Astyanax mexicanus: one gene and its partner. The protein of the gene in region 2 interacts with the protein of the main gene of each other region in a biochemical or structural test. Links are inferred from orthologs where the notes say so. Each region holds a gene or a part of one and is shown on either strand. Other genes may lie near its edges. The genes, in order: jund and atf3.

Evidence for each region.
Region 1: the proteins of atf3 (region 2) and jund form a complex in vitro, tested with the Homo sapiens proteins (2 studies listed by BioGRID and IntAct, with this or other methods). The link is inferred for Astyanax mexicanus from reciprocal best matches to the Homo sapiens genes ATF3 and JUND.

What each region holds. Positions count from the first base shown.
Region 1 is NC_064411.1:48,553,157-48,561,019, forward strand, and holds the start of jund (transcription factor jun-D), read right to left. Parts: upstream 3,046-7,863; 5' UTR 2,529-3,045; coding exon 1,692-2,528; 3' UTR 1-1,691. UniProt on the Homo sapiens protein: Transcription factor binding AP-1 sites.
Region 2 is NC_064408.1:57,292,331-57,300,573, forward strand, and holds the start of atf3 (cyclic AMP-dependent transcription factor ATF-3), read right to left. Parts: upstream 3,263-8,243; 5' UTR 3,134-3,262; intron 2,123-3,133; 5' UTR 2,115-2,122; coding exon 1,872-2,114; intron 1,392-1,871; coding exon 1,284-1,391; intron 983-1,283; coding exon 722-982; 3' UTR 1-721.

The DNA of each region.
Region 1 (7,863 bases), on a different chromosome or scaffold from region 2:
CAAAATAGATAAGGTCATCGGGTAATAAGTGCTCGTAGACAAATAAGGCTTTACACATGAAGAGTGCATGCATGACAATCTGTGTTTGGTTGCGCTCACTGAGCTTGTCTCGTTATCATGCAAAACACTGCTGCGTTTAGTCTTCTCCTCTTGTCCCAAACAGTCCAAAATAGTCCCAAATTGTCCCAAATAGGCCTAAAACAGGCTTGAGAACCAAATGTAGTAGTAGTAGTAGTGTTCTTTCAGACAGTCCCTTAGAGAAGTCCATTTGCTACAAAACGGTGTAAACATATTGAAAACATCTCTGTCTTTATACATCAGCACCAAAAGAGGGTGGATTGGGTACGCTGGGCCTTCTGGTAACATGGGAGGACACTTTAGTAGGACAACACTTTTGTTTATTCCAGTTTCAGCTGATGTTTACTGATCCAGATGTTCTGAATGAGTAGATTTGATTAGAAATGTCATTTTAGGTGAAAACCGGTTTCAACATTCTTGGCCTAGGACTTGTTCCCTCAAATTGAGAGCTATTTTAGAGTTTTTAAGGAAGAAACAGTTAAATACAGCTTAAATACTGAAAACCTCTTAGCCTTGAGTATTTAAAAAGCTGTAAACCAGCTTTTTAGTTCTATTTAAGCTTTTCAGGAATGTACAATATACTTATCTTATACATACTATACCATACCAAAGCACTGTCCCATGTGACCTGATGGACCTTTCCATTATTATACCTGAACCCACCCTTGGTGATGTCCCCTTATTTTTGGTGTTTTGCCGTAGCTCCGTAAAGTTCATAAAGTCTATGTTCTTCTGCTGGAGGAGGAGATATGGAGCCCTGCTGCGGAAAGCCAACGTAAGTAAAAATAAGCTGTGTCCACATAGGAACAAGATCTTGTTATTATAAGTCATGGCCGCAACTTCATTATGTTATGCGTATTAGCTTGTAAATACAGCTTAATTATCATGTTCCCACTTTTTTCCAAGCCAAGGCCATGACTTAATGACTCATCATGTCTCCATTGTTTCACTACCTTGTGGCCACAACTTAATTATCTTGTTCCCACACCTTATTAGGTAGAGGCCATGACTTAATTACTTGGTTCCCACAACTTACTAAATCATGGTCATGACTTTTTGGAGTTTTCTTGTTCCCACATTTATAAAAAACAAAATGAATAGCAATACTCTTATTTTTCTTTTCCCATACCATATTAAGTTGTGGACACAGTATAGGATCCTGTTCCCATATTTTACTTAATTAAGTCATCTTAGTAAATTGAGGCAGCAACTTAATTATTTTGTAAGCTGTGGTCACAACTCTATTTTGTCCTTCCCACACTTAACTAACTTGTGGCAATTACTTAATTATTATCATCTTGTCCCACACCTTAGAAAGCTATGGCCACGACTTAACTCTCTTGTTTCCACGCCTTATTAAATTGTGGTCAATACTTAACAATCAAGTTCCTATGCCTTACAGCTCATACAGCTTGAACATAAACATGAACATGACATGGGATCAAGTCGTGGCCACGACCTAGTTTCATTTTCACTGCATGTCAGCAGCAGGGCACCATAGTGTGAGGAGTAGGGATCAGAAAATAAAGAGAAAGAGGAGTAGAGAGGGTAGATAGATAGACAGATAGATAGAAAGGTCTCTCCCAGAGTTCCTCCTCCTCTATCTCAGTATCTCAGTAGGCCTGCACCTGGCTGGGCAGCAGCTGGCACCCGTTGTTGACATGGTTGAGGACCCTCTGCTTGAGCTGCGCCACCTGCTCCCTCAGCACGCTGGCAGTGGAGGCGAGCTCCGTGTTCTGGCTCTTGAGGGACTTCACCTTGTCCTCCAGCCGCGAGATGCGCTCCAGCTTGCGCTTGCGGCACTTGGAGGCGGCGATGCGGTTGCGCAGCTTCTTGCGCTCGGCCTTGATGCGCTCCTGCGTGTCCATGTCGATGGGCGAGAGCGGGGGGCTGTCGCCGAAGCACTGGACGTCGGGGACGGTCTGGGGCTCGTCCTTGAGGGGCTGGAGCCGCGAGTGCTGCTCGGCTGAGGTGGGAGCCTGCTGTGGTGCTGGCTGCTGCTGCTGTGGAGGAGGTGGAGGTGGAGGAGGTGGTGGGAAAGGGATGGTATCCGTGCTGTAGTTCACCGTGGTGCTGTACGTGCTCAAGTTCGTGTACACGGGAAGGTCTGTGGGTAGAGCCAAGCCGGCGTGGCTCGCTAGAAGCCGGCCGCCCAGCGCTCCGGCCGCCCCTCCGTTCAGCTGGTTCTGCTTGTGAAGGTCCTCCAGGGCTTTGACGAAGCCCTCGGCGAACTCCTGCTCGTCGCTGACGGACTTGGGGTAGGAGGAGAACTGCGCGGAGGCGGCGGGAGTCGTTGACTGGGCTATGAGCCTCTCCAGCTCCGGGGTGGCCAGCTTGAGAAGACCCAGCTCGGCTGAGGCAAGCATGGCCTCGCCGTCCCTCAGCTCCGGCTTGAGCTCGGAGGCGGCGCTCTGCTCGTTCAGGTTTAGGCTTAGTTCCTTCTTCATCATGCCTCTGTGGTGGAGGTGTGGATGAAGTGGTGAAGGTGGTGTTGATGGTGGTGAGAGTCTCTTTTGGGGTGTTTCTCTTTTTCTGCTGTTTTTACCTGTTAACCACTTCTTCAGGGTCTAGTAGTAGAAGGTTAGGTAGCGTTGGGTTTGTTGTGGTTGCCCATTCTACTCCCTAAGAGGGGGTAAAATGAGCCTGTGCGCTAAACAGCCGTCCATCTGAGTAGCCACGTATCCCAGCTTTAGGTAAGAGTCAGTAAAACAGCCCAAAACACGTTAAAACCCCGAAAAAAATACAAAAAAAACCCACTCGTTTTCTCACGTAACTCCTTACGTTCCCCGTCTCTCGCTTTAGATCGTGGTGTGAGCGCTTCTCAGCCCCGCAGCCTTCCCGGGTTCAGGATGGGCGGAAAATAAAACATTTGCAAGTTTTTCTCGCTCGCCCGAAAAAAAATTTCCATTATGTCACCCCAGCGCGCGCAGATTGGACCGAGATGACGTTCTCCCCCGGCCTCATCTGCATAAAGGGGCGGGCCCCTGCCCCGTCGCCCCGGAGACGCGGGGGCAAACTGCAAACAGCGCGCTGCATTCTGGGTTGATGTCATGACAGAAGACGTAGGGGAGCGCGCGAGGGTGGCGCGAGCGAGGGAGCGGAGCCGGAGCCGGAGCGCGCGGGAGGGGCTGGGAGGATGAGGGGGGAGGAGGGCGGAGGGAGAGGGGGCGGGGCGTCTGCGTGGAAATGCTGCTTTTATAGCAACAGCAGCAGCCTGTGGAGGAACTGAGTACAGGAAGCTGGACAGAAAGAAAGACATAAAGAAACACAGACAGACATATAGAAAGAATAAAAGAAAGAAAAACAGGCAGAAAGAAAGAAAGAGAAATAGAGTAATAGAGAAAGAAAGAGAGATCAAACGAAAGAAAAATAAATAAATAGAGAAATAAAGAGAGTAAAAGAAGGAAAGAAAGAGAAATAAATAGAGAAATAAAAAGAGACAGAGAGAAAGAAAAAGAAAGAAAAAAGAAAGAGAAATAAATAATAGATAAATAAAGAGAGAGAGTAAAAGAAAGAAAGATAGATAAATAAAGTAATAAAGAAATAAAGAGAGACAAAGATTGAAAGAAAGACAATAACGAAGGAGAAATAAATAAATAGAGAAATAAAAATGACAGAGAGAGCAAAAGAGAAAGAAAGAAGGTAAGAACGAAGAAAGAGGGAAAGAAGGAAGAATGTTTCTTACAGTTTTTTTAGGGGGTTTTCAGACACCTCAAAGTAAAGATAGGGAAAGAAAGAGAGAGAGAGAGAGAGAGAGAGAGAGAGAGAGAGAGAGAGAGAGAGGCTGAAACTGTTTCTTCTTGGAAATTCCTTTTCTTAAAGTTTTTCTTAGGAGGCTCTCAGACACCTCAATATTAAGAAAGAGAGATAGATAAACAAAGTGGATACAGAGAGAGGGAGAGAGAGAGGGAGGAGGAGGCTGAAACAGTGTCTGGTTGGAAACTCCTATTCCTCAAGTCTATGGAGGCTTTCAGACACATCAAAGTGAAAAGTGAGAGAGAGAGAGATTGGAAGGAGGTGTAGGAGAGGCTGGAACAATGTCTGGTTGGAAATGTTACCCTTCCTCCATCCTGTGGAGACTTTCTGGACGTCTGCAGCTCAACTTTGCACACTGTTTTCATATCTGAGGACGCAGGAGTCACACATTTCCACATAAACACACTCTGAGAGAGTCTGACTGCTGTAAGCCCGAGAGAAGTTCAGTGTAATCTGGAGTATCCACAGTTCATCTACCATTTAGAGCACATGGACCGACTGTTTAAATTATCTGTCTGAGATGTAAACGATGCCAGTCAGCTGGCATCACTGGCTGCAACACAAGCCCAAAGCATGACCCCTCCACTCCCTTGCTTAACACTTGGGAAGGTGTTATTTTCATAAAATTTGTCAGACTTTGTTTTAGCAAAACATATCTTTGCTGACTGTATTCAAAAGACTAGAACATGCCTCCTCTGATACATGTGAAGTCAGCCACACCTCTTTTTAAACTGCGACTGATGCAGCATTGCCGAGTAGCATCACTGCACGCTTGGAGGAAAGCGCAGCGACTCGGTTCTAATACATCAGTTCACAGATGCCTTGTGCTGATGGACATCACCCTAGGAGTGATAAGGGGAAAGAGCTCCATCTACCCACCCAGAGAGAGCAAGGCCAATTGTGCTCTCTCAGGGCTCCAGTAGCTGGTGGCAAGCTAGTACAAAAGAGAATAATGTATTGTTTTTTTTGTGTATACTAACCTGTCAAACATGCACTATTAAGATCAATGTAGGGTCTAAACCCATAGTTTTAGTGTGTGGTACTCAATTAAGATGCAGCCAGAGCATTCATAAAGCTTTATAATGTACATTATATGGAGATAATCATGGACAAGTCCAGCCAAGGTCTAGGACCCTGGAAAAAATGATCTAAATGCTTAAATTGTTTGGTGTGACCAAGCTTTTGATGCTGCTCTTTCTTTTTTCTATTTGTTTATAACTCAGTGTTTTAAATACAGGGTCAGGGGGTCATTTAGTGGGGTGGTGTTTACCTGGATTCTCTGTTTTTAGCAGCACATAAGCTCTGGACCAGCCTCTTTAACATTTAACTCTTTACAGACATTTCTATTGTTCTTATAGCCATGGGCGTGGTAGTGGGGGGAAAAGTGGACCTGACCACCCAGGGCCCAAGTAGAGAGAGGGGCCCATGAAAATTTTTGCTCACGTTCCTTGTGTACTGGCATGGATAGGGGCCCACTGTCACTGAGAGTGTACAGGGCCCCGAATTTGCTGCTACGCCCCTGCTTATAGCACAGCTGCTTTCAATAATTTCAGAGGTGTAATAAAATAATAGCGAATCACATGCAGTGGATTTGTTCCATGGCAACCAATCAAACCCAAGAGAAAATATGCAAATCTTAAACAAAAATGATGTGAGAATATCCTTTTCATGCATATGTGGAACTATGTACAGTAACTCATGTTCTCTATAGATATGGAAGCTGTATTGAAATGGGGAAGTGGCCCCTGTACTGTTTGTTTCAGTGCCAGACAAATATTTACTCATTGTAATGTCCTGATCAGACAGTGAGACATAGATATTGTTGCAGTCAAAACAAAACCTCCATATGGAAACTTGGAAAGAGAAGGAGAAGAGATACTGAGAAAGATAATTTAGTATTGTGTTTCATGTTGTCACTGAAAAATAAGCAGATGACTGAATAGACTTAATAGATGCAGTAACACACAATAGGGTCACTACACTCAAAAAAATAAACTCACCCTGTTGTTGATTTTAATCAAGTATTTTTAATTAAAATTACTTAACAGCTTTGTGTTAGCAAGTGAAACCTGAGTCAGTTGGACTGCTGTGATGAAAGTCAGTTAAGTTGTCTGATTTAATTAATAAGTGCATGTTTGGTGAACGCATCCCAGTGAAGTAAACTCAACAGGCTGGCTACTTTCTTCATCCGGGACATTCGTGGCTGTCTGTGGACTTCTCTTCAGCAGCAGCGCCATTTTATTTTGGAAAAGCAGAGAGTGCGGTGAGTATTAGTCATAAATATATGTATATTTAAGCTGTACTTGGTAATTTATTAAAAGCAGTTCGTGTGTATGGGGAATTTAGGTAAGAGAAACCTCACTGTGTAATAAAATATCTACCTGGCCAGTCAGCTTCATGTTAGCTAGCTAGCCAAGTTAGCATTAGCGTTTTTTAATCACAAAATGCTTTTAAACTCAATTCACGGAATTGCGGTCGCATCATGTGGGTCTCGTAACCTCAAATAGTGTACATTTTAATTTTACGTGTATCTGGATACTCATATCTGCCAATCAATGTGTGAATTACGAGCTATGCTAGCGCTAGGGCGCTAGCGTTAGCTTGCTAGTGTTAGCTCGCTAGCGTTAGCACCCTAGCACCAGCATAGCTCGTAAAACAAACTTTTAAACTCAATTCACGGAATTGCGGTCGCATCATGTGGGTCTCGTAACCTCATATAGTGTACATTTTATGTTTACGTGTATCTGGATACTCATATCTGCCAACCAATGTGTAAATTACGAGCTATGCTAGCGCTAGGGCGCTAGCGTTAGCTTGCTAGCGTTAGCTTGCTAGTGTTAGCTCGCTAGCGTTAGCACCCTAGCGCCAGCATAGCTCGTAAAACAAACTTTTAAACTCAATTCACGGAATTGTGGTCGCATCATGTGGTCGTAACCTCATATAGTGTACATTTTAATTTTACGTGTATCTGGATACTCATATCTGCCAACCAATGTGTGAATTACGAGCTATGCTAGCGCTAGGGCGCTAGCGTTAGCTTGCTAGTGTTAGCTCGCTAGCGTTAGCACCCTAGCGCCAGCATAGCTCGTAAAACAAACTTTTAAACTCAATTCACGGACTTTTGATCGCATCCTAGGGGTGTTGTAACCACATATAGTGTAAAATATATTTTTATGTTTAGTTAATTATTCATATTTGTCTTCAAATGTGTGAATTATGAGCTTCGCTTGTGCTAGGGCGCTAGTATGCTAGCGCTAGCAGGCTAACGTCATTAAACGGCCAGTCTCGGAGTTGCGTTAGTAGTGTAATGTGGTTCACACGGTAAATAAGGGATATTTTGTGAAGTGTTTTTGGTTTAGCTAGATTTGGCTCATACCCACAGGGAAATACAATGTTTGAAACAAATAACTTAAGTGCACCGGTACTCATTTTTAGCTTTAAACCAAGTTCAGCTTGGCTGATTTAACATAAACTGAAGACCCGCTGAAGCCACACAATCCACTTAGTTTGGTTTAATGCCCGCGTATTCTCCAGTAAACTGGCTTTGGTAACGCAGTGTTGTGTGACTTGCACAAGCTTCCGTAGGACAGATGCTGCGCATGCTCAGAAGTTCAGTCCATGAACGAGAAACGTCTGGCGAGGATCGCGAGGCAGGTGAAAAGCGGGCGAATCTTGATCCATCCGAGTAATTATCGTAGTATATGTGCTTTTTTGTAATGTAATCTTTAAAGGTTATATGTAAGTGTGTGGTTATATTTTGAATTTTATGGCCTTGGTGTACCAAAAGCGGACACATTAATAGCTAGCAAACTTCCTTGCTTGCTGACTAGCTAGTTAGCTATATAGCCAACAACATAGCCTGACTGACTTATTAATTAATTAATTAATTAATTAATTAATTAATTTGAATCGTTACTAAAGCTGCTCTGACCTGATGTCACATTATTTTAAGTTTTTCAAAAATACACATATATTTCTTAATAAAACTGTTTTATAGACAAACAGCCAACAAAACTCATAAGTAGCTCC
Region 2 (8,243 bases):
TGTTGATGTCCGAGACATATATTTATGATAGTTTTGAGAAGTGCAGTTTTATCATAGTTGACATGAATTGCCATAATTAATATTAATAACTTAATCAGCATTACATGTAAATTCCATTGTCATTTAGGTTCTTAATAAATTGGCCAGATTAATGCTCTTTCTATCACTGCCACTGTGTATAATTAATTCCAGCAAATTACACATGCTGACTTGTTAGCATCTCAACCACTGAATTATGCATCATTCTGGAAAAATAACTGTATGTTCCATTTAATGACATGGAGCATATCAATCCTCACCTCATTCTTAAAAACACAGTGTATTCAGTTTTATTACTACAGTACTATTCCTCCTTGGGTACCGCTAGCATCACAAAACTATATTTAACAAGGTTATACATGACAACATATGTCTATATAAATGAAATCACGTCACTTTAGGGGACATGATATCACGCTTTGGTGCACATATAGAACAGCATGAAATTGTTATTTGACAGTTGTTTTACAGTTTTAAATAGTATACAACATTAAACACATCAAATGTCTTTCAATGTTAGTGCTTTGACAGACTGCTTACAGAGAGACATCAAGAGTATGTGGGGTGCACCCACCTTCTTCTTAGTCCTTAGTCTTTATTTGTAGTCTCCTACAGGATTCTGTGATCCCCCTTGGCAAAGAATGTCCTGAAACTTTACGGCGAGAGCCTCGCAGTCTGTACATTAGAGATGGCCACATGTGGTTGGCACAGTGGTGGCAAGCACTGGTCCGACGGTAGTCAGGTTTAGACCTTGCAGGGTGCTCTCCTTGATCTGCTGGATGAAGAGGTTCCTCTCGTCCTCTGGAGTCTGGCCGTTCTGGGCACGCACGATGCAGGTTGGCCGATGCAGGTTGAGCATGTAGACTAGCTGCTGTTTCTGGTTCTTTAGCTCCTCGATCTGAGCTTTCAGCTCAGCGTTTATAGACTCCAGCTTCTCAGACTCCTACAGGAGTACAAGAAAAGAACAAGTAACAATTAATTATTATTATACTGTAAAGCAGATGTGATGAATTTTCTTGATTCAAGCAGGCACAAATAAACAACAAGGAAATGTTAACAAAGGATTTGATAAAAAAAATACTTATTATTCTTAAGTGTTAATCTATATACCATAAATATGTGAATTCATTAGTAATACGAATTAATGTGTGAGTTTGTGAGGTTAATTTAAAGAGAAAATACTGAAAAAGCTTTTCACTTTTTGCTTGTACATTCTCTTAAAAGACAACTTAACCAAACTCTACCTTTTGCAGACAGTCTGTTTTCTCCTTCTTTTTGTTCCTGCATTTGGCAGCAGCAATTTTGTTTCTTTCTCGTCTTCTTTTCCTCCGATCATTTTCTTCAGAGGTAAACTGGAAGGGAGTGAGTTAACACGTTAGTTTCTCGGCATAGTCAGTATAGGTTAATGCTCTTTTATGAATGTTTCTTATATCTTTACTTCTTAAACTGCACTTTGGCTCAATAAAATGTATGTTGTTCACTTTAATCACAAACTAGTGCATCCCAAAAAATAGAATATCTTTTAAAAAGTTACTTTATTTTAGTAATTACGTTCAAAATGTGAAACTCTTATATATAGGTGCATTAGACATAATCACCAACAATAAAATAAATAAATGTGTAAAATAGATCACTGTGTGTTTAATACATTTATATAATATATAAGTTTCACATTTTAAATTGAATAACTGAAATAAAGTAACTTTTCAATGCTCTTCTAATTTTTTGAGATGCACTTGGATACAATCCCACAACAAGCAAATTAATGTAAAGTTAACTGATGTCTCTGAAAGAGCTGATCTGTAGGTGGTGATGATGGTGGCCGGGAGTACCTCTCTCTTGACTGGGGGCTCGCAGGACGGGCCCGAGCTGGAGCTTCCGGAGCTCGGGGTGGCGCTCATGCCGCTGGAAAGGCGCTTGTTGTGGATGGCGGAGCGCAGCTCCTCCTTGACGAGCGGACTGAACGTGGTAAAGTCGTCGAGCGTGAGGGAGCCCGGCGGAGACAGACAGGGCACCAGGGCAGAGGCGCTGATTTCTGAAGGACCGAAACCCAGTCCGGAATGCTGAAGCATCATTCTGAAACCTGAACACATATAAATCCACAGCGCGGGTTAGACCTGTAGTACTGCACACTGCTCACACTAGAACACCTGCATATAAACAGTTTACTGAAGCAAGATAGCCATGTGTCCTGAGCGAGCTCACAATTTAATTTACCCTGTAAAATATACATCGTCACTATCACGCAAAAACGGCATATTTACATTTTGTCAAAGTTTTAATCAGGTAGCTTTTTGTCGTTTCATCAAACTTTCATGATGAACGGATCAACAGAAATACTCAACTTTGCGCTGGAATAAAGTACTTTACAGACTAAAAACCAGAGGTACGAAAAAGTACTTTCTTGAACAGGGAGGAGGTACAGATTTGTACAATTTAACCAGCCATTTAACCGGTATTCTGTATCACTGTACGAATAAACAATATATATATATATATATATATATATATATATTAATTACACATTTTTCATTTGAAAGCCAGACAATTTTGGATCATCAAGTTCTTGACACATACTCTGTAAGAAGATAATCTTTAAAATATTTACTGGTACAAAAAACATGAAAAAACGAAACTTTAACTGAAATGTGCTCTCAATAAAAAGTACAGCCACAGCGACAAGCTTGGTCCTCTTTTAAGTACAAATCTGTACTATTTTTTCTTAGTGTGTGAACTGAGTTGTGGTAAAAGTTTAGAAGTTGTCATTATGAAGATACAGGTTGTGGGAGTCAGTGTGGGAAGAGGAGAAAAGTCTTCAGTGTGTGTCTGCTAATCCGACTGATCGAGAGCGAGCCTATAGCCTGTATCGGCATATCGCTCGTCTTTCTGCGTGTTTTAGCTCTTTCCCGTTGAGATTGGGGGCAGATCTCTCTCGCTATAGGGGTAAAGCAGCCGGTCTGACTCTCGGAGTGTGGTGAGGAAAGTTTAAAGCCCGCGCGCGCCCTGCCTCGCCTGTTTCAGTCTGTGTGTGAAACCCAGAGACTCGGCTCTGGGAGCAGCAGAGGCGGCGGCGGCTGAGCGGGGCTGTACTCACCGTGTGTGTGAGCAGGGCGCGTGGACGGGTCCGGGCTCGGCGTGCTCTCTCTCTCTCTCTCTCAGCTGAGAAACTTACAGCTCTCGGCGGCGCGTTGCATCACCCTCGCTTTATAGTAGGAGCCTCGCCGAGGCATCTTACTAGTAAAAGGGGGCGGGGCTGGGCATGGTGACGTCAGCCTATTTATAGCACTGAGAGCGGCTTTGCTCTGCGATGATGCAATCAGGCAACCCTCTCCACACAGACACCATAAGAGGACAGGATCACCCCCCCACACACCCCTCCAGAACTGCGGGAATGTAGCTCCAAACATTTTACACTAATGAGCAAATAAAGGCATGCCTGACTAATGACTGGGGAGTTTTGGTATGCTGTCTTGAAACGTTACCAAAAAAGTAGGACAGCTTGCCCCTCTTTATACAGAACCAGGCCAGCTCGCCCTCGATCTGTTGAACACACACACAGCCGTGACAGCTCTCTCACTTCATCATAACTGTGTCCAGATTCAGTTATGAAGACCAAACACACCCCTGACTGATCAGATCACTGTATAGAAACAGAGATGCGAAGCTGGGAAGTTGGAGAAAGTTTTTTAAGGTAATACATATTTACTTTACGTATGTGTGTGTGTCAAACTTTTCATCTTTAGTTTAGCTTAGAGCTAGATCAGCAGCTGTTTGTGACAAAAATCACATAGGTTAGGAAAATCAGACTTTAATGGTCAAGATTAAGGGTAAAATAATTGTTCCAGTTTACTAAGATAGGGCAGAGGTAAGACATAAGTGGGCTTGTGTTTCTTTCAGTTTGCCAAAGACAGACTTACCAGAGAAGAATTTCAGGGAGTGGAGGCCAGTGCAGCCTGTATCCTGAAGTACTGGTTTATTACCATTTATTGTTTTGAACCACCCCAGTATAGGCTCCTAACCCTATGTTCTGGAAATGTCCTGTCCTCTCCCACTCTATAGAGATACAGCCTTTGTAAACACACACACACTCACACACACACAGGCACATAGAGTTACCAGGGAACAATAACATAGCAATCAAAACATGACACTGTTGATTTTACATATCTTGTTGACTCCCATGACTGGAAAGGTTGTCCCAAAGAGCTTTATCATTTCACAAAAAAATTTAATTTTTTACTTGATGGTTTTCCCAAGTACATGCTGTGGTTTTTCTGACTGGTGCCAAGAAATGTTCTAAACTTCTAAACTTTTGTAATTTTTCAGAGTAAAAATCTACCGACAGGTTTTTAATGATGATTAGGTTGGAAGTCTGTAAGTGCAATGTCTTTTATCAGTAAAATGTTCCCTGTGCCTCTGAACAAAACATAAGCCTAAAGTATGACTGAACCACAACATTCTTAACAGTTGCAAAAGTGTTCTTCTTATAGCTTTATCCAGCATTGTGGGCAATGATTGTAATTTGTGATGAGCAGAGTGATAGGTAGATTTCTTGAGGGACCCACATCTTAGCAAATTCACACACAAGAACTATAACCAGAAAATAGTAAACAAAATAAAACAGCCAGATAGGAAAACATAACAGTCACATCTGTTTTCTAGACTAAAGAATTCCTAAAAAATCTAATTACTGTATATATCTTTTAATTGTGGATGAAGCATTTGAGTAAATATGTACAGTTTATTGTGGTGGTGTGACTACTCTTTATGTAGTGCACCAACTGACAGACTACATCACGTCATGGAGATTGCCATTACTTTGTACGTAGTCAGACAGCTGGCTAAAGGTCTGTGGGCCATGGTGTGTCCTCAAAAAGATACTGAGGCATATGTACAGCTGTTATTAGGTCAATACAGACCAATTAGCTATTAATACACTATGAGGTTCCAGGGTAACTACTACATGTTTTGAAAATCTGTTCAGTTGCTGCTTTCCAGCTTTTATTATCTGTTTAGTGTTTAAAATTTAACATGTCTGTGTCTGTCATCATCTTTTTTATGTAACTAAATATACAGTAATAAAAAATAATATAAGGGAAAAATAAAAAATAACAACATACAGGTGTGTGGTTAGAAACAGAAAGTTTAAAAAGATTAACGGACACAAGTAAAATGAGTTTTATATTTTCTAGTTGAAAATTCAAAAGCACATTTTCTGATTTCAGTTAAAACTCTAGTAATCTGACAGGTAATTCAGCCACTTGAATAATTATTTTACCAAAATTAAAGCACATTTACATTTTGGGTTTAGGGTACTCTAATCTGTGATCTGTACAAGTGGAATCTAGAGGCAGTTAATACCCCCCAATTTTTTTAACAGTGCAGTTGCTGCATTATGTACTGTGCAAATGTTTTATACCATCTGTTTTTATTCATATCATAACGCAACATTTTATAACTGTTTTTTTACTGTATTTATGTTTATTTGTATTTACTGTAATGTTACAAAGTGTTTAACAGGGAAAACATACTATCTGCAGGGATAATCACATATTCTTGAGATAAGGGACAAAAAATTTTTTTTATATATATTTTTACTTTTATTTTTTTTACTACAGTAATTCAAAATGGGTGCCCAGTTTTAAAAAAAGTATTAGCTAATCTGAAATGTCAAGAAACCTTTTTTAATGGCCCATGGTATATGATAATGTATTCTGTAACACCAATAATAAAAAAGCATCATATATTTTATTCTTTAATTTCACACTATTTTGACTTTTGGCTATTTAAGGCAAGCATTAACTCCACATCATGACGCTCAGTGTTTACATTAGTGGACTTAGCTAGCAACCAATGGACATCACACACCACTAGAAATCAGCACTGGGCAAGATATTTCACAATTTATCATAAAGGGAAGATGATTTTGACACATTAAAGCTGTGACTGCAGAGATATTTCCGTTTTAAACTAACTTCTAATTTCTAAAAGAAAAATACCATACTGTTTCATTCAGATAACAGGAAATAGAAAATGGGGATCTCTGGGTTATTCCTGGGATTATAAAAATGCTATACTTTTATATTTATGCAATTATGTATCTATGGAGATTGCCTTTACTTTGTACGTAGTCATACAGCTGGCTAAAGGTCTGTGGGCCATGGTGTGTCCTCAAAAAGAAACTGAGGCATATGTACAGCTGTTTTTAGGTCAATACAGAACAATTAGCTATAAATACACTATGAGGTTCCAGGGTAACTACAGCAAAATTTGTTTAGTTGCTGCTTTCCAGCTTTTATTATCTGTTAAGTATTTAAAATTGAACGTGTCTGTGTCTGTCATCATCTTTTTTTTAAAGCAAAATACCATACTGTTTCAATCAAATAACAGGAAATGGATACGGGATCTCAGGGTTATTGCTGGGATTATAATAAAATGTCAGTAAGTTCAGTTTATGTATTATGTGGTATCTTATTTAACCATTTAATATTTTTATTTATGCATTTATGTGTGTATTTGTGTGACAGTTTATACTGGGACAGTATAACTTACATATACCTTTCAAGTACAGAGCCTGTAACCTAATAAGTTAATATAGAATTATATAAAAAAATATATAAACATGATGTTTAAAGAAGATGTTTTATCCTCGATTTGTATTGAGTTGTTGTTACTGTGTATAAAAAGGGCTATAAATAATATGAACAAATTACCTTGCCTTATCTTATTATGAGTGTTCTGATCAAGTTTTGGCTGATTAAAACTCTAAACTGACTTCCTTTACTTTAATTTATCTTTACTTTCACATTCTTTTGCTTCAAGGCTTCAAGGCTTTTTTACATTTTTAGTACCAACACATGGTCAAAAAATATATAAGCCTCTCAAAATACCATGTGTTGTTCAACCATACAAAATGTTTTTGTTTTTCAGTTAAGGGTAAATGTTGATGTTACATTCTGACCCAGAAAGAGAACTTAAACGACTTAAAAATTATATTATATTTTAAAGATTATAAGTAACTTTACATATCGCCTTTAAGCCTTTTTCTAAGCCTTTTTCTTCTTAACTATTCTCTACAGTAAGGCACAGGGGAAAGGGTAACAATAAGGTGCCCATAAAGACCACAGTGTGTCTTTAAGATAGCAGCTTCTTACAGAAAACAGGGGAGTTACGTCATCCTTTCCGGGAAATGGAGACTAGTCATCCCATATCTTCCTCCTCTAGAAGCGCAGGAAAACACTCATCCCCTGATCCTCAACATCACGAGACCGAGACCGAGAGAGAGAGAGAGAGAGAGAGAGAGAGAGAGAGAGAGAGAGAGAGCGGTATCGCTGCAGTAGTAGAAAACACTGGGATCAATGCTTTATTTGCGCTTTCAGTCTGACCAGCGCTGCATTCCAGTAAAGCTCCCAGCGTGACTCACAGCTTCCCACCCATCATCAGCACCACAGCTACTATCATCACTGCCTCCAGTCCTCACCTGAAAACCCGACTCCGCTCACCACAGCCCACAGCACGCGGGACCCTACTGCAAACTCTCTTTACAGGTCTGGGATCGGTATATGTATTAAACACATCATGGGTTAATATTACACACTGTAGGTTATTATTACAGAACAATTGTAAACTTTTACACAATATATATTGAACTGAAAGCTATTTACCCCAGTTTACCTAATATATATTTACTTAATATTTAATTTAGCCATACACATAATTCTGATTTTGTTATGAACAGTATAAAAGCCACAGATACACTGCTGAGAACTCCCACAACAGATGTTTGTTCCTACAAATCAGGAACAGACACTAAATAATATATTAAAATATTAGAAATATCACATTTTATATCATTATATACCTGTGAACATATAAATTCAGTGTTCTTTAATGGTCTGAATACTAAAGTTATTCAAACTATGAAGAACAGCATGTGGAACAAAAAAGTGTTAAACAAAGCAGAGTATGTTCTATATTTAAGATTCTTCAAAGTAGCACCTCTTGCTTGGATAAAGCTTTGCACATCCTGGCTGGATTTTCTCACTCGTTATGAGGTAGAGTCACCTGGACTGTCTTTCAGTTAACAGCTGCGCTGAACTTGTCAAGAATTAATTACTTGAATTTCTTGACTCTTAATGTGTTTGAGAGCATCAGTTGTAAAGTTGTGAAGAGGAAGAGTTATAGGTATTTAGTTAACAGCCCTG